Linked DNA regions of Elephas maximus indicus. The protein of the gene in region 4 interacts with the protein of the main gene of each other region in a pairwise test. Links are inferred from orthologs where the notes say so. Each region holds a gene or a part of one and is shown on either strand. Other genes may lie near its edges.

Evidence for each region.
Region 1: the proteins of GRB2 (region 4) and GAREM1 interact in binary tests that used the Homo sapiens proteins (3 or more experiments, as listed by UniProt). The link is inferred for Elephas maximus indicus from reciprocal best matches to the Homo sapiens genes GRB2 and GAREM1.
Region 2: the proteins of GRB2 (region 4) and ASAP1 interact in binary tests that used the Homo sapiens proteins (3 or more experiments, as listed by UniProt). The link is inferred for Elephas maximus indicus from reciprocal best matches to the Homo sapiens genes GRB2 and ASAP1.
Region 3: the proteins of GRB2 (region 4) and HELZ interact in a two-hybrid assay, tested with the Homo sapiens proteins (2 studies listed by BioGRID and IntAct). The link is inferred for Elephas maximus indicus from reciprocal best matches to the Homo sapiens genes GRB2 and HELZ.

What each region holds. Positions count from the first base shown.
Region 1 is NC_064829.1:39,925,094-39,932,459, forward strand, and holds the start of GAREM1 (GRB2-associated and regulator of MAPK protein 1), read right to left. Parts: upstream 3,016-7,366; 5' UTR 2,581-3,015; coding exon 2,460-2,580; intron 1-2,459.
Region 2 is NC_064833.1:12,929,868-12,936,789, reverse strand, and holds the start of ASAP1 (arf-GAP with SH3 domain, ANK repeat and PH domain-containing protein 1), read right to left. Parts: upstream 3,016-6,922; 5' UTR 2,930-3,015; intron 1-2,929. UniProt on the Homo sapiens protein: Possesses phosphatidylinositol 4,5-bisphosphate-dependent GTPase-activating protein activity for ARF1 (ADP ribosylation factor 1) and ARF5 and a lesser activity towards ARF6.
Region 3 is NC_064837.1:56,636,778-56,643,638, forward strand, and holds the start of HELZ (probable helicase with zinc finger domain), read left to right. Parts: upstream 1-3,846; 5' UTR 3,847-3,910; intron 3,911-4,394; exon of another isoform or gene 4,395-5,251; intron 5,252-6,861. UniProt on the Homo sapiens protein: May act as a helicase that plays a role in RNA metabolism in multiple tissues and organs within the developing embryo.
Region 4 is NC_064837.1:65,722,150-65,729,959, forward strand, and holds the start of GRB2 (growth factor receptor-bound protein 2), read right to left. Parts: upstream 3,010-7,810; 5' UTR 2,821-3,009; intron 1-2,820. UniProt on the Homo sapiens protein: Non-enzymatic adapter protein that plays a pivotal role in precisely regulated signaling cascades from cell surface receptors to cellular responses, including signaling transduction and gene expression.

The DNA of each region.
Region 1 (7,366 bases), on a different chromosome or scaffold from region 4:
TGACCTTTTATTAAAGCAATTTGATAGTGTGTATCAAGGATATGAAAAGGATTCACATGTTCTACTCAGCAAGTTAGGAATATATCTTAATCAAAATAAATAGCTTTATATACAAGCATGTTCATCGTATCATTACTTATAATTGCAAAAAGCTGAAGCAAACTAATGTGTACAATACAAAAAAACAAGCTAGTTGCCATCAAGTCAGTTCTGATTCATGGCTACCTTGTGTGTTTCAGAGTAGAGCTGTGCTCCATAGGTTTTCAATGGCTTTTTTTTTTTTTTCTGAAGCAGATTACCAGGCCTGTCTTCTGAGGTGCCTCAGGGTGGGTTCAAAGCACCAACCTTTCAGTTAGTAGCCGAGCACCTAGCCATTTGTGCCATGACGTCTACAAAAGGGGGCTAGATTATACAGTATTGCTGTTCTGTGGCATATTATGCAGCTGTTAAAAATCATGAAGTCTCTAAGTGGTACGAATGGAAAAGCGCTGTTAACCTAAATGGAGGCTCGAATCCACCCAGAGGCACCTCAGAAGAAAGGCCCATCAGTCTACTCCTGAAAAAAAGAACAGCTCTACTCTGACTCAAGTCAGAACCGACTTGATGGAAACTGATTTCTACTAAAAATCATATTAGCAAAAGATACTAAAACAGCATGGGATTGTCAAGTGAAAGGAGCAAGATAGAAAGTAGTCCTTGGCTATGATTCTAAATCCTTGTGTGGCACTGTGCTTCTCAAGTGGTCATAAGAAAAATAAGAGAAATTTACAATAAAGAATCAGACTTACACACAGCTCAAAATCCAGTACATGATGTGAAAGGACGCAGTGTTAAGACCTCCTGCCCATATCCTAATTTTAAAAAGAGCTGTGGGATAAGTACTCTGCTGAGTCAGATCCTTTTTATGAATGGCAGGGACAGGAATGTGCACAATAAAACTAAAGTTTTATCTGGAACTGCTATTCAGCCTTCTTAAACTTCCAGTTTAATGAAGCTTTTGGGTGGCTTTCACACCACTTGCACCAGTGCTCTCTGCCTAGCTAATGGGTTGGCAGAGTATGCAACGTTGAGAGAAGGCTGGACAAGGCAAGGACTCACAACCTTCCAATATACACAGTTTTGCACAGCGGAGGAGGAAATGAAATACTGTGATTTTACACACACACACACACACACACACGCACACCAGGGTCAGGTTTCCATATACATATTTAAGGTAGGAAACACTTTTCCACCCCCATTCTAAGCAGAAATGCCTCAACAGAACACCTGTCTCCCCAATCCTCATCCATTCAATGGCTACTGTCATCCCCAGTTCATCACAGGTTTTAGAAATCTTAGTTCATTCCCAGTGCCCACCACAACCACCACCAACTGAACGAGACTAGCAATTCCTTTGGGCATCTATTACATCTCACGTTACACACTCTTACTCCAGAAAACAAAGAGGAACCCAAGTCCCTGTGATTGAAACAGTAGTGCACTTCTGACTTGGCCTGCGTGGCCACAGCTCTATCATCCTGCCTGCCTGCCTGGGCCCAGGTGTTTCCAGCTGCCCCACTGGAGAGGAGGCTTCTTTCTGCCAACAGCCTGGAATCCAATGAAGCCAAAATCAACTGAAGTTATTCTGAAAACACAGGAGAAGGCAAAACATGCCTAAATTGCCACCTTACATTTCATAACTCTCAAACTGAAAGGTGTCTACTTGTTTGACGGTATACACATCTATCTACTTGTTTGCAGATGTCACACTGCAGAACAAACAGGGGATGTTTGGTTGGTTTCTGGTGGTCAATTTCAGGAAATACAAGAGCGTCTTAGTTCTGAGCTCAGGTTCCAATGAATTTTTTGGTGACTTAATTTTTTTTTTCCAGGCTGGAAATGCGCTAAGCTAATAATTAACCTGAAGCATACCATCACTTCTGCTCCAAACATTTTCTACACACAGCCTTAAATTACTTTCAGTTCGGTTAAACAAAAAAGACAAGCTGTAATAAAAGGTCTCTGAGAAATATGATCCCTTTCATTGGTCACCCAGGAGCTTTTCCTCTTAAATCTGCGGCTGCACCCAAAATAAAGATACCACCCAGAGCACAATTATTTTCGTAAGAAAGTTGCCTAAGATAACTCTTTAGGGTTTCCCGGGTTGTGTAATTCTTGCAGGCGGGTGGGGATGGACAGCTCGCCTCCAAGATTACTATCTGCATAGGTTTCCCCTATGTTGATTTTTAAGCGTCCTTTTCAATTATACTGCGAGGGCTCTGATTTCCGCATCTCTGGCTGCTGGGGGGAGTTGAGAGCAACGCGCCAGGGCTGCGGTGGCCGCTCGGGCCAACTCCAGGGAGCTGGCAGCCCACTCCCCCACCCGGTCCCACCCTCTCGGGCACACGCGCACACACCCGCGCCCAGATTGCGGTCCCCGCCCGTCTCCCCTGCGCGTCGGGGCAGCCGGGACTTACCGCTGTCCAGCCGCGCGATCTGGGGCAGCCGGTAAGTGCTGACCAGAAAGTCGAGCGGAACGGCCACCGAGCTCCACTTCACATCCTTAAGGCTGCAACCCAGCGAAAGCGCCGGGTCCATCTTCCCCGCCTCCTCCTGCCCCACGCTCCCTCCGCAGCCGCCGGCACCACCGCGCCTCGGCGGCCGCCGCTGTTTGCGCTCGCGGTCTGGGGCGCGCGTGAGACGCCGGGAAGCTCCGGCCGCGGGCAGCCCGGGGGCGCCGCGGCTGAGCGGACCTGGAGGGATGGGGCCCGCTCCGGCTCAGCTGCTGCTGCGGGGCATGGCTAGACGCCCCAGTGCACTCAAACCCGGGGAGGACTCGAAGCAGCCCGGCTGAAGCGGACGGCGGCGGTCGGAGAGGCTGCGGTGGCTCCCGCTCTGCCTCCCCCTCTGGCCCTGGGTCTGCAGCTGCGGCGGCTGCCCGCTCGCCTCCTCCTCTTATCCCTCCTTCCCTCTGCCTCGAGCGTTTGAGGAGGAGCTGCGGGTCTGAGAAACGCCATAGCAGCGCTCCCAGCACTGACTAATCAACAAGGTGCGAGCAACGCCTGCGCAGCTCAGGGAGACACCGCCTCCTCCCCCGCCTCCCCGGCGCCGCCCGCTCCGCCCTCCGCTCCGCCCGGGCCTCGCCGGGCTCCGGCCCTGCAGCCCGGCCGGCGGGCGGGCTCGGCGCGGCGTCATCTGCCAGGCCCGGGCGGCGGGCGCGCGGGCTTGGCGCGCTCTGCAAGCTTTAGCTCTCGCTCCCCCGTCCGACCGCTTGCGCGCCCTGCAGCCTCGCCGGGCGCTCAGACTCCGTCCTTGCTCAGGGCCCTTCCTGGAGACCCAAAGTTGCAGTGTGAGCTCATGCCTCTTTCTCTTAGTCGTGGAGTCGGTACCCTCCCCCCACTTCCCACCATGGCACTAAAATCTCTAATAAGGGTTGGAAAGAGACCGATTTGGTGCTCACGTCATGCTGAGTAGCCTAAACTTTAAGTATGTAGACCAGGAGAGTTCCACAGAGGAGGGTGGAAAAGGCAGGAGTTGACAACTACTCGGCATTCCAACCACCGCTCAAGCCCACTCCAAACCCTGCAACTCAGCAAACGGAGGCAGAAGTGACTCCCCCCATTCTGGACACTGGCTGCTAGGAAGAATGAAAAAGACTGAACAACTGAGCAGCAAAAAGCTGAGGGATGATCAGTACTCAAAAGGGAAGGTGATGGTTCTATTTAGTACATGGTTGTATAAACAGCTGGCGACCTTCATAGACACACCGAGGGAAGGGGCAAACTACGTTATTGACAGTATGTTGTTAGGCTTCCTATAGTGGATTCCGACTCACAGCGACCCTATGTACAACAGAATGAAACGCTGCGCAGTCCTGAACCATCCTCACAGTGTTGCTACATTTCAGCCCATCATTGCAGCCACTATGTCAATCCATCTCCTTGAGGGTATTCCTTTTTGTCCCAGACTCTCTACCAAGCGTGATGTCTTTCTCCAGATCCCTCCTGATAGCATGTCCAAAGTACACCATCCTCACTTCTAAGGAGCATTCTGCCTGTACTTCTTCCAAGACAGATTTGTTCCTTCTTCTGGCAGTCTATGGCATGGCATATTCAATATTCTTCACCAGCACTGTAATTCAAAGGCATCGATTTCCCTTATTCACTGTACAGCTTTCGCATGCATATGAGGCAATTGAAAATAGCATGGCTTGGCTCAGGAGCACCTTAGTCCTCAAAATGACATCTTAGCTTTTTGACACATTAAAGAGGTCTTTTGTAGCAGATTTGCCCAATGCAATACTTATTTGATTTCTTGACTGCTGCTTCCATGGCTGTTAATTGTGTATCCAAGTAAAAATTGAGAGTCTACTAGGGTGTTTTCATGTACTTGCCACACTCAACTCTCTTCCAAAACTGGAAGGGTGTAATAATTTGCGTTTTACAGATATGTGTACCAAGACATTAACTAATTTGGCAAGATTATACAAACTTGTAGATGACTGTGATAAGGCTTAAACCCACAGTTTGCTTTCCATGATAAATCATTCCCCCCCCTTTAAATAGAATAAACATTACACTATCAGAGGTGAGTGGTTGCTGAGGTGAAAAAGTTACATGTTGACTCTTTCCTGGCTTCGCCACTGTCTTAGATATCTAGTGCTGCCATAACAGAAATACCACAGGTGGATGGCTTTAACAAAGAGAAATTTATTTTCTCACAGTCTAGTAGGTTACAAGTCCAAATTCAGGGCGTCAGCTCCAGGGTAAGGCTTTCTCTCTTGTTGGCTCTGGAGGAAGGTCCTTGTCCTCAAACTTCCCCTGGTTGAGGAGCTTCTCAGGTGCAGGAACCCCGTGTCCAAGGCATGCACTCTGTTCCTGATGCTGCTTTCATGGTGGTATGAGGTTCCCAACTCTCTGCTTGCTTCCCTTTTATCTCTTGAGAGATAAAAGGTGGTGCAGGCCATACCCCAGGGAAACTCCCTATACCTTGGATCAGGGAGGTGATCTGAGTAAGAGTGCTGTTACAATCCCACACTAATCCTCTCAACATAAAATTACAATCACAAAATGGAGGACAACCATACAATACAATACAATTGCCTAACCAAGTTGATACACACATTTTTGGGGGGACATAATTCAATCCATGACAACCACATACTTGGTATTCAGTGCAGGATAAGGCAGAGCAAGCATCCTGCTTCCCCGTCTGTCATGGATTGAATTGTGTCCCCCAAATATATCTGCCAACTTGGCTAGGCCATGATTCCCAGTATTGTGATTTTCTACCATTTTGTCATCTGATGAGATTTTCCTATGTGTTATAAATCCTATCACTATGATGTTAGTGAGATGGATTAGCAGTAGTTAGGTTGGTGGGATCTGCAAGATTGGGTTGTGTCTTAAGGCAATCTCTCTTGAGATATAAAAGAAGCAAGCAGACAGACAGGTGGACCTCATACTACCAAGAAAGCTGCACCAGGAGCAGAGCACATCCTTTGGATCTGGGGTCCCTGCACCTGAGAAGCTCCTCACTAGGGGAAGATTGATGACAAGGGCCTTCCTCCAGAGCCGACAGAGAGAGAAAGCTTCCCTATGGAGCTGACACCCTGAATTTGGACTTCTAGCCTACTAGACTGTGAGAGAATAAACTTCTGTTTGTTAAAACCATCCACTTGTGGTATTTCTGTTACAGCAGCACTAGATAACCAAGACAGAATTTGGTACGAGGAGTGGGGTACTCCTCTAACAGATACCTAAAATGTGGAAGGACTTTTGAAACCGAGTAGATAGAGGACTCAGAAGGACGTGAGAATATCTGTTACACTGGAGGTGGCGTAGGCTGCAAGAAGTGGCAGAGAAGCAGCAGCGGCAGAATCAGGAGAACAATGCAAGATGGCACTGGAGCTGACCCACAGAGCGCGAGAGCTGCGTGCCTTTGCACAGGAGGCTTCCTGGCAGAGTAGAGCTAGGCTTGCGCCACCCACAGAGCAAGAGAGCTGAGTGCCTTCTGGCTGAAGTTTGCTGGCGGAGTGTGGTGCCTCCAGGCACTTACCAGTGGAACTACAGAGGTTTGGAACACTTGCCCCAGCAGGGCAGATGTGGTTGTGAAACCTGAGGGGCTGAGAGGCCAAGGAACCAGGAAGCAAAAGCTAAGGAGACAAGAAACACAGAAAGTTGAGCTGCCTCAGTCTTAAAGGGTATGGCCACAACCTCTGGGGTTTCAGAAGGCAAAACCATGGCCTCTCGTGTTTCTAAGGCTGGAGCTGTCATTCAGATGGACTAGGAGAATAGTGTTCCTAAAGCTGAGGAAACAGAGTTGCCGTCCCAGTGATCCTGGAAGGCAGAGCTGAAGCCCAGGACGGAGGGGCCTCCACTCAGAATCCAGAGAGTGTGGCTAATACCTACAGTCTGGAGGGCAGGGCCATTGTGTAAATGGTCTCAGAGAACAGAAAATTATTTTCAAGACTTGAGAGCTAATGTAATGTGTTCTACTGACTTGCTTGGTGCCTGTTACCCCTTCTTTCCCTCCAGTTTTCTCGTTGGTAATAGAAATGTCTAGCTTGTGCCTGTTTCACCATTGTACTTTGGAAGCAGATAACTTGTATTTTAGATTTCACAGACGAAAAGGAATTTTTGGATTTTGGATTTGCAGTTGAGTTAAGACTCGCCGTGATATAATGGAGTAAATGTGTTTTACGTGCGGCAAGGAAATGAATTTTGGGGGGCCAAATGGTGGAATTTCTTGAATTGTGTCCGCCCTAAAATATCTGTCAACTTGGCTAGGCCATGATTCCCAGTATTGTGATTGTCTACCATTTTGTCATCTGATGAGATTTTCCTATGTGCTGTGAATCCTATTACTATGATGTTAAAGAGATGGATTATCGGCACTTAGGTTGACAAGATCTACAAGATTGGATTGTGTCTTAAGACAATCTCTTTTGAGATATGAAAGAGAGAAGCAAGCAGAGAGACAGGTGGACCTCATGCCACCAAGAAAGCAGCACTGGAACAAGAGCACGTCCTTTGGACCCAGGGTCTCTGTGCCTGAGAAGCTCCTCGGCTGGGGGAAGATTGATGATAAGGACCTTCCTCCAGAGCCGATAGTGAGAGAAAGCCTTCCCATGAAGCTGACACCCTGAATTCAGACTTCTAGCCTACTAGACTGTGAGAGAATAAACTTCTGTTTGTTAAAGGCTTTGACTTGTGGTATTTCTGTTACAGCAGCGCTAAATGGCTAAGGTACTGCCCAAGGGGACTTGAAAACATTCTTCTCTGCCATTTAGTGGGATGGCTTAAAAGTTCTGTGCCAGTGAATAAACCACCCTATTAACATTTGAAGAAAAAACTACACAAATATACTTGCCTTCCTTATCCTC
Region 2 (6,922 bases), on a different chromosome or scaffold from region 4:
ACATCAGCAGTTCCTACGTGTGGGAGAAAAGACCTGGTGATCTGTTCCCATGAGGATTACAACCTAGGAAACCCTATGAGGCAGTTCTATTCTGTCACATGGGGGCACTGTGAGTCGGAACTGACTCAACGGTCCACAACAAATTCATCTTTGCATGACTGGTACCTCCCATGGGAGGGGTTGCACTTAGCAAATGTTTGTGGAAGAAAGAACTCTGAATTCCAGGTGATTCTGAGAAGTGCAGGCTCTTCTGGGCACAAATGGAACTCCCAAATGGGTTCTCTCTCTTCCTTGGGACTTCTTAGGAAGTAACAGGTCTGGGGCATATGGCAAGCGCTGAATAAATGTACCCATCATCATCACTAGGGTTGGTATCACCCAGTGCAGTGCGGTAACTCATGGTGTCCCCCCATCCCATACTAATTATCACAATATTGTAACTAAAACACCAGAAAATTTGACAAAATCAGCAGCTAAAAAAACACCAGCAGCAAGAGTGCGTGCTTCGAATGCGTGCAGATGAAAACACGTGATTCAAAGTGTCATTGTAATTGGGTAATAATGACAGATCCAACCAGAGCGCATTAGGAGATTCAGAAAGTTTTAGCCTTGTGGGTATATTGATACACATAAGCTGGGCTTATGAAAAATGTTTTTGTTGTTCTAACTAACTACAGGGATACTTTTATTAAAAATAATAAATTCATGCTGAAACACTGCACAAAAATTTCACAGAAAGTCATTTGGGTGTCACCCCCTCTGACAGTGTCACCTGGTGTGGTCTGCACCCGCCACAACCCCCTAATGATGTCACTGCTTAGGCGGTGATCATTTGTGCAAACCCTAGAAAGGACTTCTTCCCCAGCCCACGCCAGATACAGTGGCTGTGCAAGAAGTGAGTCGAGGAAACACAAGAGGGAATAATGAGGACAAGGCAGCAGGATTCAGTCAAATACAGCTGAGAATCGGGCGGGAAAAATTAGCAACAACGTCATCCTAGGTAACACGTACTTCCTTCTGTCCTCCAGACCTCAGCCACCCGGACACAGTGCAGGGGTGCCTGCTGCAAGGGGTCCTCATGAGGGAGGGTCTGATTTGAACACACACATCCATTTTTGGGGCCAAAATCTCGGACTGATTGTGAAACTCTGACTTACTGTGGGTGATGAGGACTGGGGAAGTGCAGGGAATTTCAGTTTCCTTCACCAAATGCCAAGTTCTCAAAAAAGTCCTTTCTCTCCAACATTATCACATACTGAAAATGAAAAACCAGCCACTCAGAGCTCTCATGGGGAGAATAGACGGACTGCTTAGCTCGCAAGAAACAGGAGGGCTGAAAATCAAGTCTAGAGAACATCATATTGTACACTATGTGCAAAGATACTGCCTTTTTTTGGACTCGGGAGTTCCCATAATCTCCATATAATAAGCCACGCATTGTACATTTCAAATCCATTTAGTGCTGAATCTCAGAACAGGAAGGTTTAGAGAATTTTTAACAACCTATCTCAAAATACGCAGTCTGAGATAACTGCATATTTGGAAAATAGCAGCAAGAACAGGTAAGACGAAACAAGAGAAGGCACTAAAGCCATAAAGGTTATGATGCAAATAAGACAGATTTCGAAAGCCCAGTCTGGGGCTGACAGACCATAATCTGCCCTACTGGAAAGAATACAACCCTGGGAGTCTCCAGACTTGAAGACTATTCCTGGTCCTGCCACCAGCTGGCTGTGCATCCTTAGGCAAGTCACAGGGCCCCTCCTCTGTGCAAGAAGAGGCTGGGCCAGATTTCCTCTAAAATCCTTTTTTCTCTCTAAACTGTTGAGGCTGGATGTTCCCAGAAGGCCTGGATCTTCTGGATGCTATACCGTGGGCCTCCAATTGCGAAACGGAAAGGTCTTGGGATGCAGGTTGCAAAAGAAATAAAACAGGCCTGAAAACTGAGTTAAATTTTACAGTTCCAAAACATTACTCAGCAATCCGTCCCTGGCTGCCATCCCACTGACTGGCATCAATTATGCTAAGACAATCAGACCAGTTATAAGGATACATGGTGGAGAAAGTTCTTATTCCTTCTGATTAGTATAGGTAAAACTGAGATCAACTTATCCATGGTCTGGAGTTGGCTGTCCGTCTCCCTGAGCTAGTGGAAAAAGAAATTATTAAAGGAAACCGCTTAAGGAGTGCCCGAGATTAACTCTCAGGAGGTACGAAACCGCAGAAGGCCGGGCACCAGCGAGTTGCTTTTTTCTTTTAAACTTCATGTCTCTCAGAAAACGCAGCAGGTCCCCAAAACGGTACAAAGGGTAAAACACAAGCCACTTCCCTTGTCTTCCCTGAGCAAACGCCAAGCCCCAAGTGGGGTTTTTCCCATTTCATTTCGTCTCATTTGCTTTAAGCAAGTGGCCTGGGGCCTGCCTGGCAGCGTAGTGCCCGGGCTGGAGTCGGGGGCCGGGGGCTGCAGGCGGTGGCCGGGCCGGCCCTCCCAGGAACCGCGGGGAACTTTCCTCCACCGCGCCAGGGAGACAATGCAGCGGCCAGCGCCCGCGCCTCCGCGCCTTGGCCCGGGGCGCGCAGTCCCGTCACCACATCGGGAGGGGGGCGCAGAATGGCCCGAGTGGCCTCACCCGCCCCACCTCGGTGCTTTTGTGAGCGGGGGCCGCCAGGCGCGCCGCCTGGGCCCCCTGCGGGAAGGGGACGCAGAGGCTCTGCTCGGCCTCGCCCGGCTCTGCGGAGCCCATCTGGCGCCCGCGCCCCCCCAGATCCCAGAGTGCCCCCTTCCCGCCGAGGGAGTGCCCTGCTGGAAATGGAACCCAGGCTCGCCAGGCTCAGGGTCCCGGAACCGCTCCGTGCTGGGGGCCGGGGAGGGGGCGCAGGACGACCCCCGCCTGGTCCCGCTGAGCCCGCCCGGGCGCCCGCCACTCACCGGGACCGTCGGGCCGCTGGGCATTATTCCATGGCGGGCGCCCGCGCCCCGGCACCCCTCCGCCGGGCGTTCGCGGCTCCCGGAGCTGAAAGAGGAAGGCAGCTGTGGAAACCCGCGGGGCGGGAGGCGCGGGGCCGGGGGCTTCCCGAGCGCAGAGTGCCCGCCCGCGGCGGCGGCGGCGGCGGCCAGGCGCGGGACCGAGCGCGGCGCAGAAGAGGCGGGCGACCATGTGCGGAGGGGCGGGAGGCCGCAGGACGCGCGGCGGCTCGGACGATCCCGCGCGGCGCGGAGGGCGCGGGCTCCAGGAAATCCAAACACTTCGACAGGAAATCGGAATCCTGACTAAGCATTCCCGGCCGGCGGCGCGCCGCGGCGGGGGGCGCCCGCCTGCCTTAACCCTTGGGCCGCCGGCACGGAGGCGGGGCGCGGCGGGCACCGGGGGCGCACTGGGCGGGGTGGGACGCCCACCGTCCTCGGCCCCACGGGCCGCGGGCCCGCCATCTCCTCGCGCAGAGGTGGGCGGGGTGGGGTTTATCCAGATACAGCCTTGGCCTTGGGAAGGGCCGTTGTAAGGCCCGGGACCCCGGAAAATGTCTCGACCCCTCTCCCTTCACTCAGAGGCTGGACTTGCAATCCCCTCTCCTTTACCCCGACTTTCAATTAAAAAATGACTACATCTATCAGCCTCCTTTCGCCGCTTCCTCTCTCCTAATTTCCTCATTTTTGCCCAATGCGAAGGGGGACAGGGCCTTTCCAGGTCAGGATAGGATAGTGGTTAATAGTATGGACACAAGACTCCACAACCTGGATTGGAATCTGGCCTTTGCCTTTTTCTAGCTGTGTTACTGGTGGCGCAGTGGTTCAGAGCTACCGCGAGCTATGGCTGCTAACCAAAAGGTCGGCAGTTCGAATACACCAGCTGCTCCTTGGAAGTTTTACCGGGCAGTTCTACTCTGTCCTACAGGCTCGCTTTGAGTCGGAATCGACTCGGTGACAGTGGGTTTTGTTTTTGTTTGCCTTGGACAAGTTTCTTAACGTCTCTGAGCCTCAGTGTCCTCAACCTGAGATGGGGTGACCAAGTATTTAGACAATGACTGACGCATTACAAACATGCAAATAAATGATAACCATTGTTGCCGTTGTAGTTGAGAACGATTAGGGAAAGGAGAATTTTAATTTGGGGGGTATGCCCGGGTAGGGCAGTTAAGCCCCGAGCTGCTTAACCAAAAAAGATGCGCAGATGGAACCCACCAGCTCGTTCAAGAAAGAAAGATGTGGCAGTCTGCTTCGTAAAGACTGGAAACCCTATGGGCATTTCTACTCTGTCCTGTAGGGTCACTGTGAGTTGGAATTGATTCCACATCCACAGGTTTGGTTTTTGGTTTTGGCACTGTGCATGTCCCCACCTTCCTACAAAGCCTGGGCCAGCGGTCTCTCCCCTTAGAACTCCTTTTCCCCCCTAATCACCGGGTGATTATTTTTCTTTGCAGTCCTTCAGAAATCGCTCTCTGCAGAACAAAAGGTTAGTGGCTGCAGCAACCCCTTTCTGGTGAAACCTGAAACCCAGCAAATCTCACGGAATTTGGGGTTTTGTTCTTAACCTGAGTCTGAACATTGAGAGGTTTGTTAAAAAGTCTGAAGAAGACAAAGTTTAGGAAAACAGAAGTTATTCTCTGCCCAGCCAGGCCTAGACAGGGTGACCAGTGAGAATGATTCATTATGATTTTCCATGGAAATGCCACATTTGGGGGTTTTCTACCTAGAGGGTACAACTTGGTGGTTTTGCTGTGTTTCAGATTCCTTTACTCAGACTTTGAAAGGGGAACAACCTGCCCGTGAGTGAAAACAAAAGCTTGAAATGAACCTTTTCAGAACTGAAAGTTGGGTATCAGCTTCTGTTCTCTGGGTGGTGCAAATGGTTAACACACTTTGCTACTAACCAAAAGGTTGGAGGTTCATGTTCAACCACAGAGATGCCTCCGAAGAAAAACCTGGCAATCTGCTTCCAAAAAATCATCCATTGAAATACCTATGGAGGAGAGTTCTACTTCGACACAGATGGGGTCACCATGAGTCTGAATCAACTCAACAGCTACTGGTACTGGTTCTCCAAGTAAGGACCAGACCTCAGTGTTAGACCCAAGTTTGTCATCTTTCCTGCAACTCTTTCAGTGGTCAGAAGCAGTGGGACGCACCCAAGGCTCGTCCAGTTTCTGCCTCTGGCCCTTTGCAGCTATTGTTCCCTTTGCCTGGAAAAATCCCCAATGGTCGAGTCTCGGCACTCAGCTCATATCCCAGAAGTCAGCTCTTCAGAAGGACTTTCCTCAGCTACTTGATATACTTGTCTCTGGCATCTCCACTCTCCTGCACATCACATGCACTGTTTTATTGATTCATAGCCCTTGTCACTATTTCATTTATTTTATTATTTGGTTGGAGAATAAGTTGAAGTTGTTGATGATTTCATTCTACTTGGGTCAACAATCAATGCCATGGAAGCAGCAGCCAAAAAATCAAACTACGTATTACATTGGGCAAAGCTGCTGCATGTGACTTCTTTTAAAGTTTTAAAAAAGCAAAGATGTCATTTTGATGATTAAGGTGTACCTGACCCAAGCAATCATGGTCTTCTCAATCGCCTCATATGCATGCAAAAGCTGAACAATGAAAAAGGAAGACAGAAGAAGAGCTGAAGCATTCATATTGTGGTATTGGCAAAGAATATTGCATATACCATGGATTGCCAGTAGAATAAATAAATCAGTCTTAGAAGAAATACAACCAGAATTCTCCTTAGAAGCAAGGATGATGAAACTTTTGTCAAAGAGCAAACTGGAGTTTCTGTTAAAATTAAAGCAAAGACTTTTATTGAAGGAACAAAGCAACCCAATCAGGCAGCACTCCATGAGGATTCACGAAAGTACTCCAGTGAAAGAATTTTTCACAGAATTTAAGTACAGAAAATCCAGGAACTTACAAGGAAAAAGTTCTGACTGTTTGACATTTACAAAATCATGTTTTAACAGACGCTAGACAATTTCAAGATCCCATACACATTGTTTTGTTAATCATAAAGTCTGAGTCAGTTAACATCTTGTTAATCTGTGGATATTTTGGGGACCAGCCTGAGTGACTATTCTTCTTGGGAGCACACTGTGAGAGGTAGGGGGAGAAGTGGAGGCTGCAGACTTCCTGGGGTATGCTGGCTAGCTGACTTTTGAATGTCTCAGAATAAGCAGTAGAGAGCAAAAATGGAGTCCAACCTGCAATTTTGGCAGAAGCCTCTCCTCATGCCATGCACCTAGATTTTTTAAAAAGTTCTTTCACAGCTTCTCTTCCCCCCTCTCCTCCTACCAGCTTTTTGATTAAGAATGTCTATAGAAATTTGCTGGTCATTATTAGAAAAGTGCCTTCTTCTGCATGGATTTACCAACTCTTTGCCTTACTATGTATGGAGCTTCATCTTCAGGGTAAGCTGGTCTCACGTAGCCCATAAAGGAGAAACTCATCTTCTACAAGGGCCTTTTTCGTTGGTTATAGATGGTGTGTTTATTAGGTGGCTCCCTATTCTAGATAAGCTTTTAAGACCCCAGACATATAGTTGGGCATCATCTGTTTATTGGTGGCCACTTACCTTCATAAGCCTTCAAGACCCTGGTCACTATCATGCAGATAGCCAGGCACCCACCGTACCATAGCTTGGATCTCTGCTTCTGTGATCTTTTAAGAAGGGGTGTATAAGAAAAAAAAAAGAGCATGGTTGAATTCATGGGAAACCTTGGCGGGGGAACACAGGCCAAGGTGAAGAGCTAAGTTATTTTTTAAGGAAATGCTGTTTTCTTCAAAATACGTGGTCTTTTGCACAGTAAGTAGTATCACATTGTGAGTATCTGCATTTGAAAAATATTTCATAAAACATTTGATTAATCCTATAATGACAATTATAATGATTAAGAGAATTAATCTGGTTTGTAATTGAATGTAGCCAAGAAC
Region 3 (6,861 bases), about 9.1 Mb from region 4:
CATCTTGAGGGCAGGCCATAAGAGGTATGCTGCCTCTAGAGCATTTATAAACAATATTAAAAACGAGTAAAATTTTGTCCACTTTTTATTATCATCATATGCAAACAATTCTAAATGTCAGTGGTAAAATATTCTTCCCAGCTGGGGCTCACCACACCCAGTGCCTCCCTTAGTAGATCACTGGACCCCAAGAACCGTCCCTCTAGACCAGGGCTTGGCAAACCATAGCCCATGGGTCAAATTCCTCCCACAGTCTGTGTTTGTAGGGCTACAGTGCAAAGAACAGTTTTTATATTTTTAACGGGGGGTAAAAAAAACAGAACAAAGAATAATAAGCAACAGAGAACGTAGCTCTCAACGCCTAAAATAGTTACTATCTGGTCCTTTAAATAAAAATGTGTTGCTCCTTGCTCTAGGCTCCAGGAGCTGTCGAAAGCAAATGCCCCCAGAACAAAAGAAGCCGGAAGGCCAGGATCACCTCCCTGCTCTGCTGGTCTCTGGTAGTTTTGCACTGTAGTTAACCACGTACATTTCATTTAATTGTCCACATATTTTAGTTCTCAATAGGAGGGCTGGCCTGAATTATCTGGTCCGCCATCCCTTCTTTTCTATTCAAGTAAAAATGAAGTGGGCCTAAAAGTAGAAGGAGATAGAAGATTCCAAGGCTTTAACATTTTGTTAAATTTTTAACTCCTGTTACCTCCTCCTGGAGTCCCTGGGGGTGGTACAAACAGCTGCTAACTGAAAGGGTGGAGATTTGAGTCCACCCAGAAGGGCCTCCAAAGAAAGTCCTGCTGATCTGCTTCTGAAAGATCAGCTGCTGAAAACCCCATGGAGCACAGTTCTACTCGGACACACATGGGGTTGCTACGAGTCAGAATCGACTGGGCAGCCATTGGTATCTTCCCCTACTATATTTTAGGTGGCTTAGAGCACTACCTCATGAACGACTTTGTAGGCCATGGTTGGGACTTTGGGTTTTATTCCAAGTATGATGGGGAGGATATGAGTCGGAATCCACTGGACAGCAGTGGGTTTGGTTTTTTTTGGTCATGACCCACGTAGTGCTTCCCTCGGTTTGAAGCAGAGAAGTCACATGACCTGATTTACATGACCTGATTCACTGGGTTGCCAGATGGAGGCAGACTGGAGGCAGGGATCAGAGGAAGCTATCCCAAAGCTCCACCACACTTCAGTCCATTTGTCTTGCTGTGGTGGCTTGGGTGTTGCTATGATGCTGGAAGCTAAGCCACCAGTCTTTTAAAGACCAGCAGTGTCACCTGTGGTAGTCGGGTTTCAGAGAGCTTCTAGACTAAGACAGGCTAGGAAGAAAGGCTTGATAATCTATTTCTGAAAATCAGCAATGGATCACAACAGAATATCGTCAGATAAAGTGCTGGAAGATGAGTACCCTAGGTTGGAAAAAAAATACACAGTGACTTCAACAATGGACTCACGCACATCAACCATCCTGAAGATGGACAGGTCTGCAAGGTTTACACAGGGTCACCATGAGTCAGAATTTACTCAAGGACTGCAACTCACAACATGCTAGCTTAGGCATCTTGGACAGGGATGGACCAGGAATCACGTTGGAGTTGGTGAAGAGGTCAGGCAGTCACATAAACTGAACACTTCTCGGGGTGAAGACATTAAGAGGCAAAGAGAGATTGCCAAACAGGTTTGGGAGGCACAGTCCTTGCCCTCAGCTTTAGTGTTTTAATTACAAGAAACCCAGACCACACACCTAAAGGTGCCATATAAATACAAAGCAACCACTGAATCAGTGCATATTAGATGGCTAAATAAGCACAAAAGGGGAACTGGAAAAGAGGCCAGATGGAAGATTGTGGGACCTTCTTCGGCCATGAGAGGCACTCGGTTTTCTACAAGCGACAGAGGGTCTAGGCAAGGGCGCTGCACCCAGCGTGGCTGCCTGAGCTGCAACATCTAAGAACCTAGCTTCAGGCCCCGGTTTCTCCACTCCTTCGGAGCAGTGGAGCCAGTGACTCAGGGGAGGTCCCTCCCAGCACGCGGTGTTCTGGGCTGTGAGTGACTCACTGCCTCGCTCCCTCCCTCATGGGTGACCCCGGGCCAATCCCTTAATGAGTCTACAACTCACCCTTCTCTTCTGGTCCGGACAATTGCCTGGTGGAGGTTTTAGCTCCCCGGGGGCAGGGCTCCTTCTGCAACCCTCTAGGTTCCTCGAGAGAAGCTTTCCTAGGGTCTGGAGGCGCAAAACACCCTTGGGCAGACCCAGGATCCCAGGCCCTACCCGTGCAAGGAGGTGGAGGGTTTATCGCCCCTGCCGGCACATTCTTTTAATTTCAAAGCCATCCAACAGCATTTCATCTCGACTACAGTTTCGCAAGCATTGATGTCTTGGAGGATGTTTTTTTCTTTTTGGATAACTCCTTGTAAAAACTTGCTTGTTAAAAAAAAAAAAAAGGCAACCAGAGTTGTCCCCAAAGTCTACATACAAAGCAGAGAACAGAGGCACTGGGAAGAGACCGAGCGGGGGCTGAGGAACTGGCCTTCGGTTCTTGGGGGATCTGGGCGGCTGGATGCACCGGCTCCGCGGGGCAGGAGGAAAGCGCGAGAGCTTGTGGGGCTAGAGCTCCGTTCGCGGGACCATCCGACAGCGGGCGGGAGGAGCAGGGAGAGACCTTGGCTCCCCTGCAGAGCCCGCCGGCCTGATGCTCGGGGGCGCGAGGGCATTGAGGGATGAGGGGTCACTCGCCTGGGTCACGGGTCCCCCGCCCAGCGTGTCGGCGCCCCCTACCTCTTGGAGCACCCCGTCGCACCAGGCGAGTCCGCGTGTCCCACCAGGGGCAGGAGGCGGCGCCCGCGGTCCTCCCCACACTCGGCCACCAGGGTTCCCGGCCCCAACGCGGCCAGGCAGGTGAACCCAGGCGGGCGCATCCTCCTTCTCGCCGGGGACCCTACCCCAGCCTGGAGCGCCACCACGGCCCCCTCGCAGCCTGCGCCGCCGCGCTACCAGCCCCGGGAAGTCACTGTGCGCAGCCCTGACTCCAGAAGGGTGGATCCGGCTGAGCCCAAAGCCACATTCCTAGGGGAGGGGTCCCCCCAGGGTCGCGGATCACGTTACTGGCCAAGGGCCGCAGTCAGCGGGAGAGAGAACTAACGGCGGTGGGGAGTTGTATTTAGCGTTATTACTTTTTTTTTTTTTTTAACGCGCTTGGAAGCTGGTTGACTCGGGGACACGGCGTCCGCGCAGGTCCCGGAGTCTGGCGGCCCCCGAGCGATTTGCCAGGACAGAGGCACCTTTCTGCCTGCGAATGCGGGCGGCCACGAGCCGGCTGGGCTGCAGGGGCTAGCGGGTTCCCGATGTGTCCCTCCCCCCCGGGAGCCCTGGAGCCTCGAGTGCCCGGGAGCGGAGACGCTTCGCCGCAGGAGCGCGCGCCGGGCACCAAGTACAAGGAGCACTAACAGACACACAAATGCGCATAAATAAATCAATGAGCAGCTCTCGGCTGCCAGTGGCAGGGAAACCTCGGGCTGATTAAATGCAGACTTGGGGCGTTTGCCAAGGCAGGAGGGCGGCGCGGCAAAAGGCACCATCGTGGAGGCGAGGGGTGGGGGGAAGGGAGGCCAGGGACAGAAAAAAAAGAAAAAGGAAAATCCAAAGCCACCTTTTAGCAAAGGGGGCAAGTTTTAAATGCAAACCTCCCGGACGGGGGGGAGGGGCCGGGCTGCTGGCGGAGGGTCCAGCCCGACACCGGGGGCAACTTTCCGGCGCGGGAGGTGCGGCCGGAGGGGGCGGCGCCGGCGGCGGGAGGCGGGAGTCGGGGGCTGGGGTGGGGAGTCACTTTAAAGGCTCTTTCTTACCCATAATGCTTTGTGGGGACGTTGACAAGTGGATCCAAGATGGCGTAGAAAGTAATGACAGGTAAGTCCTGACTTCCCCCTTCTCTGCTGCCGGGACCGCTCCGCCAGCTGCCGGGGCCCTCCAGGGGGAGCCTGACCCTCCTCCTACCCCCCCAGGCCCCTAGAGGGGCGTCCCGGGGGCGGGCTGGGGGCTGGGGCGGCCCGCGGCGGGGCCTGGGGAGTGGGGCTCTTCGAGGCGAGGCCCGGACGCAGGGGCTGTTTACAGCTCCTTCCCCTCCTCTGTCCCCTTTCCCTCCGCGGGGGGCCGTGGCGTCCTCGGCCCGGCCCCGAGAGGGGGCCTTGCAAACCCGGCCCGGGAGCCTGCGGGAGGTTTTCCCAGCCCGGGGCACTCCGGGAGGGGGAGTCGAGCCTTCTTGCACGCTCTCCTCCTCCGGGTCCCGGCTGGGGGTGGGGAGCGTGCGGGCCTCCCAAGCCCCGCTCGATTCCCCCTTCAGGGCTTGGAGTTCCAGGGGCGTGGGGTGGGGCGTGGCGGGGGCTGGGGCGGGGTGGGTGTCCGGAAAAGTGGGTCAGGGGCGCGCCCCTTCCCTCCCCCGCTGAGGGTTGTTTGCCCGAGATTGACTTTCTTACCCCTTTCCCCCGCCCCTTCCTCGGAAATTCTCATTGGCCCACAAGCGCATCCACGAAAATAAAAAGACTATTCCTTTCTGAAAATTTCTTTTAAGAGTCGCCTTTTCAAGGCCTGAGAGACTGCAGTCCTGTCTAGGGAATTTTGATTCCTCTCCCCCCAAATCATTTGCTCCTTCTGCACCGTCCCTGTGGCTGAGTATGCTTAAGGCAGGCCTGGAAGCCAGGATCTTCTGATTCTTCTTGGATTGGGAGCCTCAGGTTTCGTTTGGAACTCAAAAATTGTCCTTCCTTCCCCTTCATAACTTACACTTTTCAAGCAAATCATTAATGTAATAAAAAGTACAACTCTTCCTGGATCGGGGACGGGAGGAGGGGTAATTGTCCTGGCCAATTTGTTCCTAACGTTGCCCTCTCTTGAGCTCATATTCACGAGGTTTCTCCTGTATTTTTTTAAAGTAAGGTCCATCAGTGCCGAGATGACTTTTCTGGTAATGTTTCTGATTTTAACAACATTTTATGATCTATCTCACTGAAAGGAAAATGTTTTTTTATTTTTAAGTAGAAGAAACAACCTCGTTTGCAAAGCTGCATACTGTATCATTTTGGTAACTTTTCCATTTGAAATTTAGATGCCCTTTCACTTCAGGCTGATAATATGGTACGGATAATGTCTTTAACTGGTGGTGTATAGACAAATTTTACTTTTTTATTTGCCTCAGGAATTGGATGAAGTAATTGATCACTAATGAACTACAGTGCTGGTGAGATGTGTAAGGTGAGGCTGCAGTTAAAACATTATCTATTTTCCGTCTTTATGTTAATCATCTCAAAAGGGTAAAGCTGAAACTTTAAATTCAATTTGATGGACCATCTTTATTTTCCAAAAATATCACTTAGTCAAGTGGGTGTATAGAGAGGGCCAGGTTTAGAAGGGAAAAATGTGTCCAGTGTGTACCAAACTTTTCAGGGGCTCCAACAAATTCAAACCTAGTGGAACTTATCCAGAGCCAACTGTTGTGTGCAGCTATCCTTGATCAGTATCTTCAACAGGGGTAATTATAGCTTGCCTATTTAAATTTCCTTGTGTAACTGTAATGGGGTGTCTTAAGTTTATCTGTGTTTTGGTTTCCATAGCTTACTTCAAATTGAGTATTAGTAATTGTGGTTGTGGGTTTTGTGCATCCATAGCTTGTGGGACTCTTGTAAAGTACACTCTATTGGAAAGAATTAGTTTATGCAAATCAGTCACTCCTACTTTTATTTATTGAAAAGTGGAATAGTACCTGTCTCTCTTACACTTTATTTTGACATAAAAACAATAGTGTGGAGTTCTGTTTAGCTTCTTAGGGAGAAGGCTGATTTGCCATTATTTTCTGGCCACACTTTGCGTTTGAATATTTGGAGAAACTGAAGGTGATGCTTTTATTTAAAATAACTTGTAATGCTTTGGATTAAAGGACATTATTAATCTAGTGCTAGTGAACAGCGTTCTGTGCTGGGTGGGAAAAGAGAGAGAGAGGGAGAAGTTTGCTAATTTTATATTTTTCCAAACAGCCTTTTCTTTACTTCAAAAAATATTTTTATTATGGCTTATTTAGAAAAATGTAAGTAATCATGGTAGACTGATAACTGCAGGTCTTTTTTTTTCCTCTTTAACACATCTGGGCGGCCCCTGGATTTTGAAATCACGTCACAAACTTTTCCTATCTATTAAAACACCTGTTTAGGAAGAATAAACTGTGTTTATTATTATTTTTTAGATTTAGGCATATAATTGACATTTTGTCTTAAAAAAAGCTTGGGAGAGGAAGATGAACATAAACCAAGATACTTTTTAAAGTGCACACGCCACATTTGCTCATGTTGGACACTCAGCATTGCCTGTGTGTATTATATATAATTTTTATTTGTATTTTTGACAGGGAAAACATCGATTTTTTTTTATCTGTATTTTTTTTTTTCCATTTTGCAGATAGAGGCATATTCATGCCTTATGCCACCCAATTTCAACCTTTTATTTTAGTTTTAGAAACTTACAGATCACTTTGTGATAAGCAGCCAATGATCTGCTGTTTGGTTGTGGAGGTGTTCATTTGCAGCCTAAAACCTAACATTTCTAAGTCGCTAATCTTGTGCGTTTGGCCTGAAACGTGCCAATGCATTTTCCATAATTTTCACACAAGTAAACCATGTGAAGTGTTAGTATCCACTTTAAAGTGAAGTTAGTAGTTGGCCACCAAACAACTTGGTACACAAAGTATTCTGTAATAGGAAATAGCATAGTACTGAAGGTTGTGGTGAAGTTGATGTCTGAGTCTTTGAGCTGAATAAAGACATAGCTTTTTTAGTCTGTCCTTTTGGCTGGGAAGCTAGGACACTATTTTT
Region 4 (7,810 bases):
AGACCATCTGCACCAAATCACCCCATTCAGAGACTGATTTACCGTGGGGTGCCCCCTGGAGTTCTACAACATAGTGGCCTTAGGCCCAAAACTTGATTTTAAATAAGCTCCCCAGGTGATTCTTACGCATACCAAATTTTAAGAATCGCTGCTGTACTACAAAAGGGTGCCTTAACCAAATGTTAAAATTTGCATTCCTGATAGTATACTACAATGTTTTTGCATAAAGTGAAAATAATATGTATTCAACTGGCACAACTGGGAAAAAGGCAGCCTCGACAAATTTAAGAAAAAAGAAAAGCATCTCAATGGTCATTCAGTAGTGCTGCAGGATACTTCTGGAGTCAGGGAACTTCATTTCTCTCAGGAGAGTATGGTGGTTTTCAATTCTGTATTAACCCCATTTCTCCAAAATACGTGACTCTTCTCATTTACGCAACAATTAGAACACACTTGCTGCACAGCCAACATGATAATAAGAAACACTGAAAAGTTATCATTAACTAATATAGCATTCAAATTAAAAAAAAAACTAATACCATTCAAAAATTTTAAAAAGTACGCCTCCCAAATCTGAATACACTTGCTGAGGAAGTAAACTGTCTCGAACATTTATTTAAACGCTTGATTTTGGCATCAAAGAAGGCTGATTACAAGAATTAATGTCTTTTTTTAATCTTGGGATTCATAAATTATAAACACCGGAAGGGGCAACAGAACAAATCAAGGTATTTCTTTTTGGCAAAAAAAAAAAAAACGACTAATTACAACAGATAGAGAAAGGAGTCTGATAAAGAAAAAAGAAGTACCCTGGTGGCCCAGTGGTTAAGAGCTACAGCTGCTAACTAAAAGGTCGGCAGTTTGAATCCACCAGCCACTCCTTAAAAGCCCTACGGTGCGGTTCTACTCTGCCCTATAGGGTCGCTATGGGTCGGAATCGACTCGACAGCAAGGGGTTTGGTTTTCTGGTTTTTATATGACACGGTGGCTGCAACAATGGGCTCAAGCACAGCAAAGAGATTGTGAGGATGGCGCAGGACCGGCAGTGTTCAGTCGCTGTGAGTCGGAACTGACTTGATGGCAACTGACAACAATCACACTGGCTTGGCTTTAACTGATTTATCAATGGTCTGAATAAATTTTATTCCCATACATTTTTCTCATCTTTATTCTAACACAGGTTTATAACCGATTTTCATCTTTTAGCATTAACCACCCCCACTAAAAATTATAAAGAAGTCATCTAAGCCCCAAATGGACCCCATCTTCCTCACAAGTATAAAAGACACACAGGAAGAGAAGCAAAAGCGGGCACAAAAACACGACCATAAAGTGAAGGAAAAGCGAAAACACACGTAACAGAAGCAAACCACACCTGGACCTAGCGGCAGTATCGATTGCTTACTGATGAATTCAATTCTTTGAGCCTACCAGTTCCCAGGGGGAGAACTCCAGTGTCACACGGCTCTCTAGCAACCCTGCTGGCTGACTGAAGGAACACAGTGGAAGCTTAAAAGTAAAGGAATGAAAGCAGGAAAGCGGGTGTTTTCCCGTGCAAGAAAACGGGATCTTTAAATGAGGGAGAAAACGAACTGCGCCCAACGGCAGAAACCTCTTTTGAAAGAAAAACTGTACCGAGAGGGGAGAGGAAAGAGGAAGGGGAAGTAGGTTAGGGAAGAAAAAAAGGGGGGGGAGGCAAATGACTTGCATTACACAAGTAAGCATTTAGCGTCTGTAGGGCAAGTGAGAGAAGCAGCAATAAACGGAAGGCAATAACTGAAAAAGCACAACGACAGACAAGAAAGCCAAAATAGATTAACGCTAATTTCTCTCGTCTCTTTGACTCTTTTCCGAGTCAACAGCACCCAAAGTTAGACCTCCAGTGCACTTCAGCTCCTCTGCAAATTGCATTTTTATAACACTTGAAATCAGCCTTGGATAAGTTTCTAAACAAGCCGTAAGTCAGATAGTTTACAGCTATATATACACGCAGAGCGTTCCCAACGACAAATACCAGGACTTCCCTCTGGCCGAAATCTTTCCTCGGAGCGTGCCAGCCAACTGCTGCTTATTTTTCCTGACATATTTTTTAAAGAGACGCTCGAAAAGTTAGAGATAGAAATAAAGGGCATCCTTACTGGCTCCGGAAACCCTGGTGGCGTAGTGGTTAATAGTTCCGCTGCTAACCAAAAGGTTGGCAGTTCGAATCCACCAGGCGCTCCTTGGAAACACTGTGGGGCAGTTATACTCTCGCTATAGGGTCGCTATGAGTCGGAATCACTCGACGGCAACGGGTTGGGCTTGATTTTCTACTGGCTCCGGCAGCAAACGTTCTAGCTCCCGGTACTAACAGGGTTAGTGGATTCCCTTGCAAAATTCGGGCCAAAGACACCGAGAGATGGTGACGTGGTGGCCGTTCAGGTCGCAGGAGCATCCCCGCGCTTGCAGCCTGATCCGGATCCCCCACCTCCAGGGCGAAGTCAGGCTGACTCACAGAATTAGCACCCAGGGCCTCTCCGGCTCCTCCCGGGCCCCATCTGCGCACACCCTCACCATGAAGGCACTAGATTTAACCGAGAGGCACCCAGAGAGCCCCCGGCCCCTTCCCCCGGGTCGCGACTCTGCCCAGAGCCAAAAGCCGTGGGAGGACGGTGCCCAGAAAGGAACCACCCCAAAAAGGGAAGCATGGAGTCGGAACCTCGGGGATTCCGCCCTTCGTCGCCCGCCCGGACTCCCGGGCCCGGCCGGGTGCCGCCTCCCGCTGCCGAGCGGGGAGGAAGAAGCATCGGAGCAGCGCCGAGCGACGCCGCCCGAACTCACCGTGGCGCAGCGACTCCGCTCCGGCCCGACCGGCCCCTCCGAGCGGTGCGAGCGGCCGCCGATCCCGCTGCTACTCCCCGAGGGCAGCTCCTGTTCCCGCCGCCGTCACCCCCACAGCCGCCGGGTCGCAGAAGCAGCAGAGCCGCCTCGCTTCCGCTCCTCGTCGGGGTCCCGCGAGAACTGCCGCGTACCGCCCCCGCGAGACTCCCCCCGGCGGAAGAGGCCCAAAGCGCAAGCGCACCTCCGCGGCCGGGCCTCCGCGAATGGAGCCGAGCGGCGTGCCAGGGCGCACGCGTCAGACCGCCCCGCAGCCCGTGGCACCGGGCTGGCTCCGCCCCCGGGCCGCTGTAACCCGCTCGGTGCCAGAGCGAGTAAATTACGCCTCAGACCTGAAGGTGTACTTCTTGCCAGACCGTAATCACTTTCCGTTTCCCTTTCAGCAACCCAAGGTAATGAAACAAAACAAAACAAAAACAAAAACGCTCCCTGCAGTATGAAGCTTCTCCAAATAGAGAACCAGGTCTTGAAATGTTTGAGAGTCCGGTCCATACAAACTGCAGTGTTGGGTGAATTAACGCTCTGGTTCACTTTGATGGAATCGTGTGCCTACTATGTGCTAAGTATATAAGATACAATGACGAACAAAAATCCGGCCCTCGAGGAATCCACAGCCTAGAGAAGTTGAACAAAAGTAAGCAAATAATGCTATAAGCACTGCTGTAATTATTTGGGGATTGCGGAAAACGGGAAAAGGATGGAAGGAGGGGTCACCATTCAGCCCACGGTAGAAAACCTTCACAGAAAAGGTGATGTGACGTTTGAGCTGAGTCTTGGAGGACGAGTAGGAGTTCGCCAGGGTAAGGGCATCCCAGGCAACGGTAACAGAGGCGGGAGAGAATGTCCTGTGCTGTGCTATGCTAAGTAGTTCGATGGTTGCACGAGGCGGGTGAGTACCCTGGAGTGGCAGAAGCTGAGACTTGGAGAAAAAACTCCTCTTTTCAGTTCCAAACGCGTATTCCAATTAAAGGAGGCAACAGAACACATCTAACGTGAATGTGCTCTCTGGAAACCGGCAAAATGGCATGGTGATGAGAATAACCAAACATCTGATTCTATAGAGAAAATAAGCCTATTGAAATAAGGAAGAGGAATTGTTCTTTCACCAGATATTTATTGATCAGCAATTGCTGGCAATGCACTCTGCAGGCTAAAAGATGAACCAGACAGAACCTCCGCTTTCAGCAGTTTACGATTTAGAGAAGAGTTGCCTAGTCTGCAAGTCGAAGTCGCTGGCACCAAGTACCACTGAACGACCTATAGGACTGCTGAGGAGGGAGCCATTACAGTTCTCGTGCTGAAGTAGTCAGGGAGGACGTGGTGTTTCAGCTGGAATTTGAAAGCAGAGAGGAAAAATGATGGATCAGCCAATATTTCAGACTGGCCATAGCCCAGGATTTGGGGAAGGAATAAGGAGATAGTGGCCAAGAAGCTTAGCTTAGGTTTAAGTGATGTGCAACCTCTGATGGTTTGTAAGTAGATATCTGACGTGAGATGGTAATAACAAGAGGACCATCTATTTAGCACCTGATATGTACTAAAGTCACAGCTCATGTATAAACCCATTGCTGTCGAATTGACTCCCACTCATAGCAACCCTATAGGACAGAGTACAACTGCCCCAAACGGTTTTCAACGAGCGCCTGGTGGATTTGAACTGCCAACCATTTGGTTAGCAGTGGAACTCTCAACCACTACGCCACCAGGGTTTCCCAGTTCATGTATAGAGTGGTTAATATCCCCATTTTACAAATTTAGAAACTGGGGCATAGTGAGGTTAGTAACTTACCCAAAGAAACCACATATAGCAGACCCAAGATTTGAACCCATCTTGTTTCAAAAACACATGTTCCCCCCCCCCCCACTATTACACTCTGTTCTAGAATGGCGGCCAGAAAAATAGACATGGAAGGGAAGGACTAAACCATAACCAGTTAACCAATTTCCATAGAGTCCATTCCAACTCACGATGACCCCCTGTGTGTCAGAGTAGAACTGTGCTCTATAGGTTCTTTTTTTATTTTTATTTTTTAATGCAGTTTAGGAGGAAGTTTACAGAACAAATTAGTTTCTCATTCAAACACAAATTGTTTTGTGACATTGATTGTAATTCCTGCAGTGTGTCGGCCCTGCCCCATTTTCCTCTTGGGGTTCCCCTTTTCCATTCTTCCAGTTTTCTGTCCCTGACTTCTTGTCTTTGCTTTGGGTCAGGTTTTGACCAATTGGTCTCCTATACTTGATTGATCTAAGACGCATACTCCTCACGTGTGTTACTGTTTGTTTTATAGGCCTGACGGCACTGGGTTTGTTTTTTTTTTTAATCTTTGGCTGAGAAGTGAACTTCGGGAGTGGCTTCAGTTCTGAGTTAAAAGGGTGTCCAGGGGCCATAGTCTTGGGGATTCCTCCAATCTCTGTCAGACCAATAAGTCTGATCTCGTTTGTGAATTTGAATTTGTTCCACATTTTTCTCCTGCTCTGTCTGGAACCCTCTATTGTGATCCCTGCCAGAGCAATCAGTGGTGGTAGCTGGGCATCATTCAGTTCTTCTGGTCTCAGGCTGGTGGAGGCAGTGGTCCATGTGGCCCATTAGTCCTTTGGACTAATATTTTCCTTGTGTCTTTGGTTTTCTTCATTCTCCTTTGCTCCAGATGGAATGGGACCAATATATGTAGATGGCCATTTACAGGCTTTTAAGACCCCAGACACTACTCACCAAAGTGAGATGTAGAACATTTTCTTTATGAACTATGCTGTGCCAATTGATCTAGATGTTCCCCGAGACCGCAATCCTCAACCTGCTCTATAGGTTTTCAGTGACTGACTTTTATCACGTAGATTACGAGGCCTTTCTTCTGAGGTGTCTCTGGGTGGACTTGAATCTCCAACCTTTTGGTTAGCTGCCAAGAGCATTAACTGTTAGCACCACGCAGAGGCTCTGAGACCCTGGTTAGCCAGTCTAAGAGGGAACGAGTATTCCAGATGGAGGGTACAGCATGTGCAAGGGCCGGACAGTAAGAGAGAACTCAAGGATGCCAGTTCTAGCTGCGAAGAAGAAGGCAAAGGGAAGAAGAACGTGGCATATGTCTGGAGGTCAGAGAGCTCATGTGGGGCCTTTTCAGCATTGCTGAAGACTTGAAACTTGGTTCTCTAGGATATTCAAGCAGAGATGGGCCATGGTCAGATACTTCAAAATTCTTTGTCATGCTGGCTGCAGAGTGGAAAATCAATTGGAACTGAGATATTTATCAACTACAAGATAGTATCTCAAGTCCTTTCTGAGGCCCTTGTTTTTTTGATATCTGGCCCCTGTTCCCCAGCCCCACCCACCTTTCCTCAACCAACCCAACCTTCCCCCCTTCCCCCAACACAGGCTCCACCAATACTAAACCCTTTGTGGTTTCCGGAGAGTGTCAGATCTTCTGAGTGTCCTTATCTTTGCACATGCTGTTTCCTCTGCCTGGTTGGCCTTCTCCCCTTCTTTAGTTCTCCAAGTCAGCCTTAGGGCTCCTTCTCCAGAATTCCCATCATACATCTCATTTCACTGCATTATTACTATTTGCTTGCTTTCCTGCCCCCTAATGGTCTGCAAGCTCCAGGACAAACACCTTTTCATGTTTGTATTCCCAGCAACCAGCACAGTGCCTGGTACAAAATAGGATTCACAGAGTGACTAAGTAGATGGATGAATGAACACATGGATAGATGGCTGAAGAATGAAGGTTGACTAGAGATAAACCTGTGGCTGCTCTTCTGTGCAGTGATGGTATTTGAAGCTAAGGAAGTAAGATCTCAGAAGAGACTAGATGCCTAAGAGAGCAGAAAAAAAAGTTATGTACTTCCTTTTAAAATGCAGCATTGATAAAACCGTCTCTGAGTATTCCTATGTAAAATTATATGCATATGGACCAGATTTGGAAGGGAATATTTAAAAATAAAAATATTTGTGTTGAAATGGAGCAATTGTGGGTGACCAAAAAAAAAAAACAGTGCTACATTATCTTTTCATTACTTTTTGTTATTGTTCTGCAGACGCAGACTCTGAAGCTTGAGAGAGCATTGCCAGAGATCATTCCCCACAGAGAAAACACAGAAGAGGCAGTAGTGTTTTGAATGCGTATGGCCGCCAACGTTAAATTCTGAAAACGAGGGAAGAAGCAAGCTGTGAAGTCAAAGTCACGCCCTGATGTGAAAACCTGTTATAACTGTTGCGAAACTTGCTGATTACAAACTGGCTACATCAGTTATTTCATAATGCATAAATTAATCATCAAAAAGTCTCTCTTTGGGGTTTGCGGTTCATTTTAGTCGACAGGTAGAGTATCTTGCTTTGCTTTCTGGGAGTTATGGTACTGCCACCTCGAGGTGAAAACTGGATATTGCCCTGAAATTTACTTACCTTGGAGGTCTGTGAAGGTCTGTAGTACAAACGGTTAACAGGCTGGGCTACAAAATGAAAGGTTGGTGGTTTGCATTGGCCTAGAGGCCGCTAGGAAAAAAGCCTTGAAGACCTACTTCCAAAAAGTCAGCCATTGAAAACCCTATGAAGCACAGTTCTACTCCGCAACACATGGGGTCGCCCTCAGTCAAAATTTGCTCCACCGCAATTTTTTTTTTTTTTTTTTGGAGGCCTGTATACAATTAGCCTTACATCTAACCTTCTCCCCTAGAAGTAGGCTCAAGACCATCTCAGGCACATTTCTGAGCTTTTCTCTGTGGGAGGAACCAGACAGCCAAGGACAGTCTAAACCTGGTCGTTTGAAATTCTACTCCCACTTATCCCATTGACCTGGAAATACTAATCTAGAATTTCCTTTTCTCAAGTTGGGAGCCAAAGCTTCGTACACCTCTCAGGCTTTGAGGGTCGCCTTTGATACTTAGCCCCACATTAGGGACACCAAGTCCCCTGACTTCCTGTCCTCAGTGTCCTACTCCA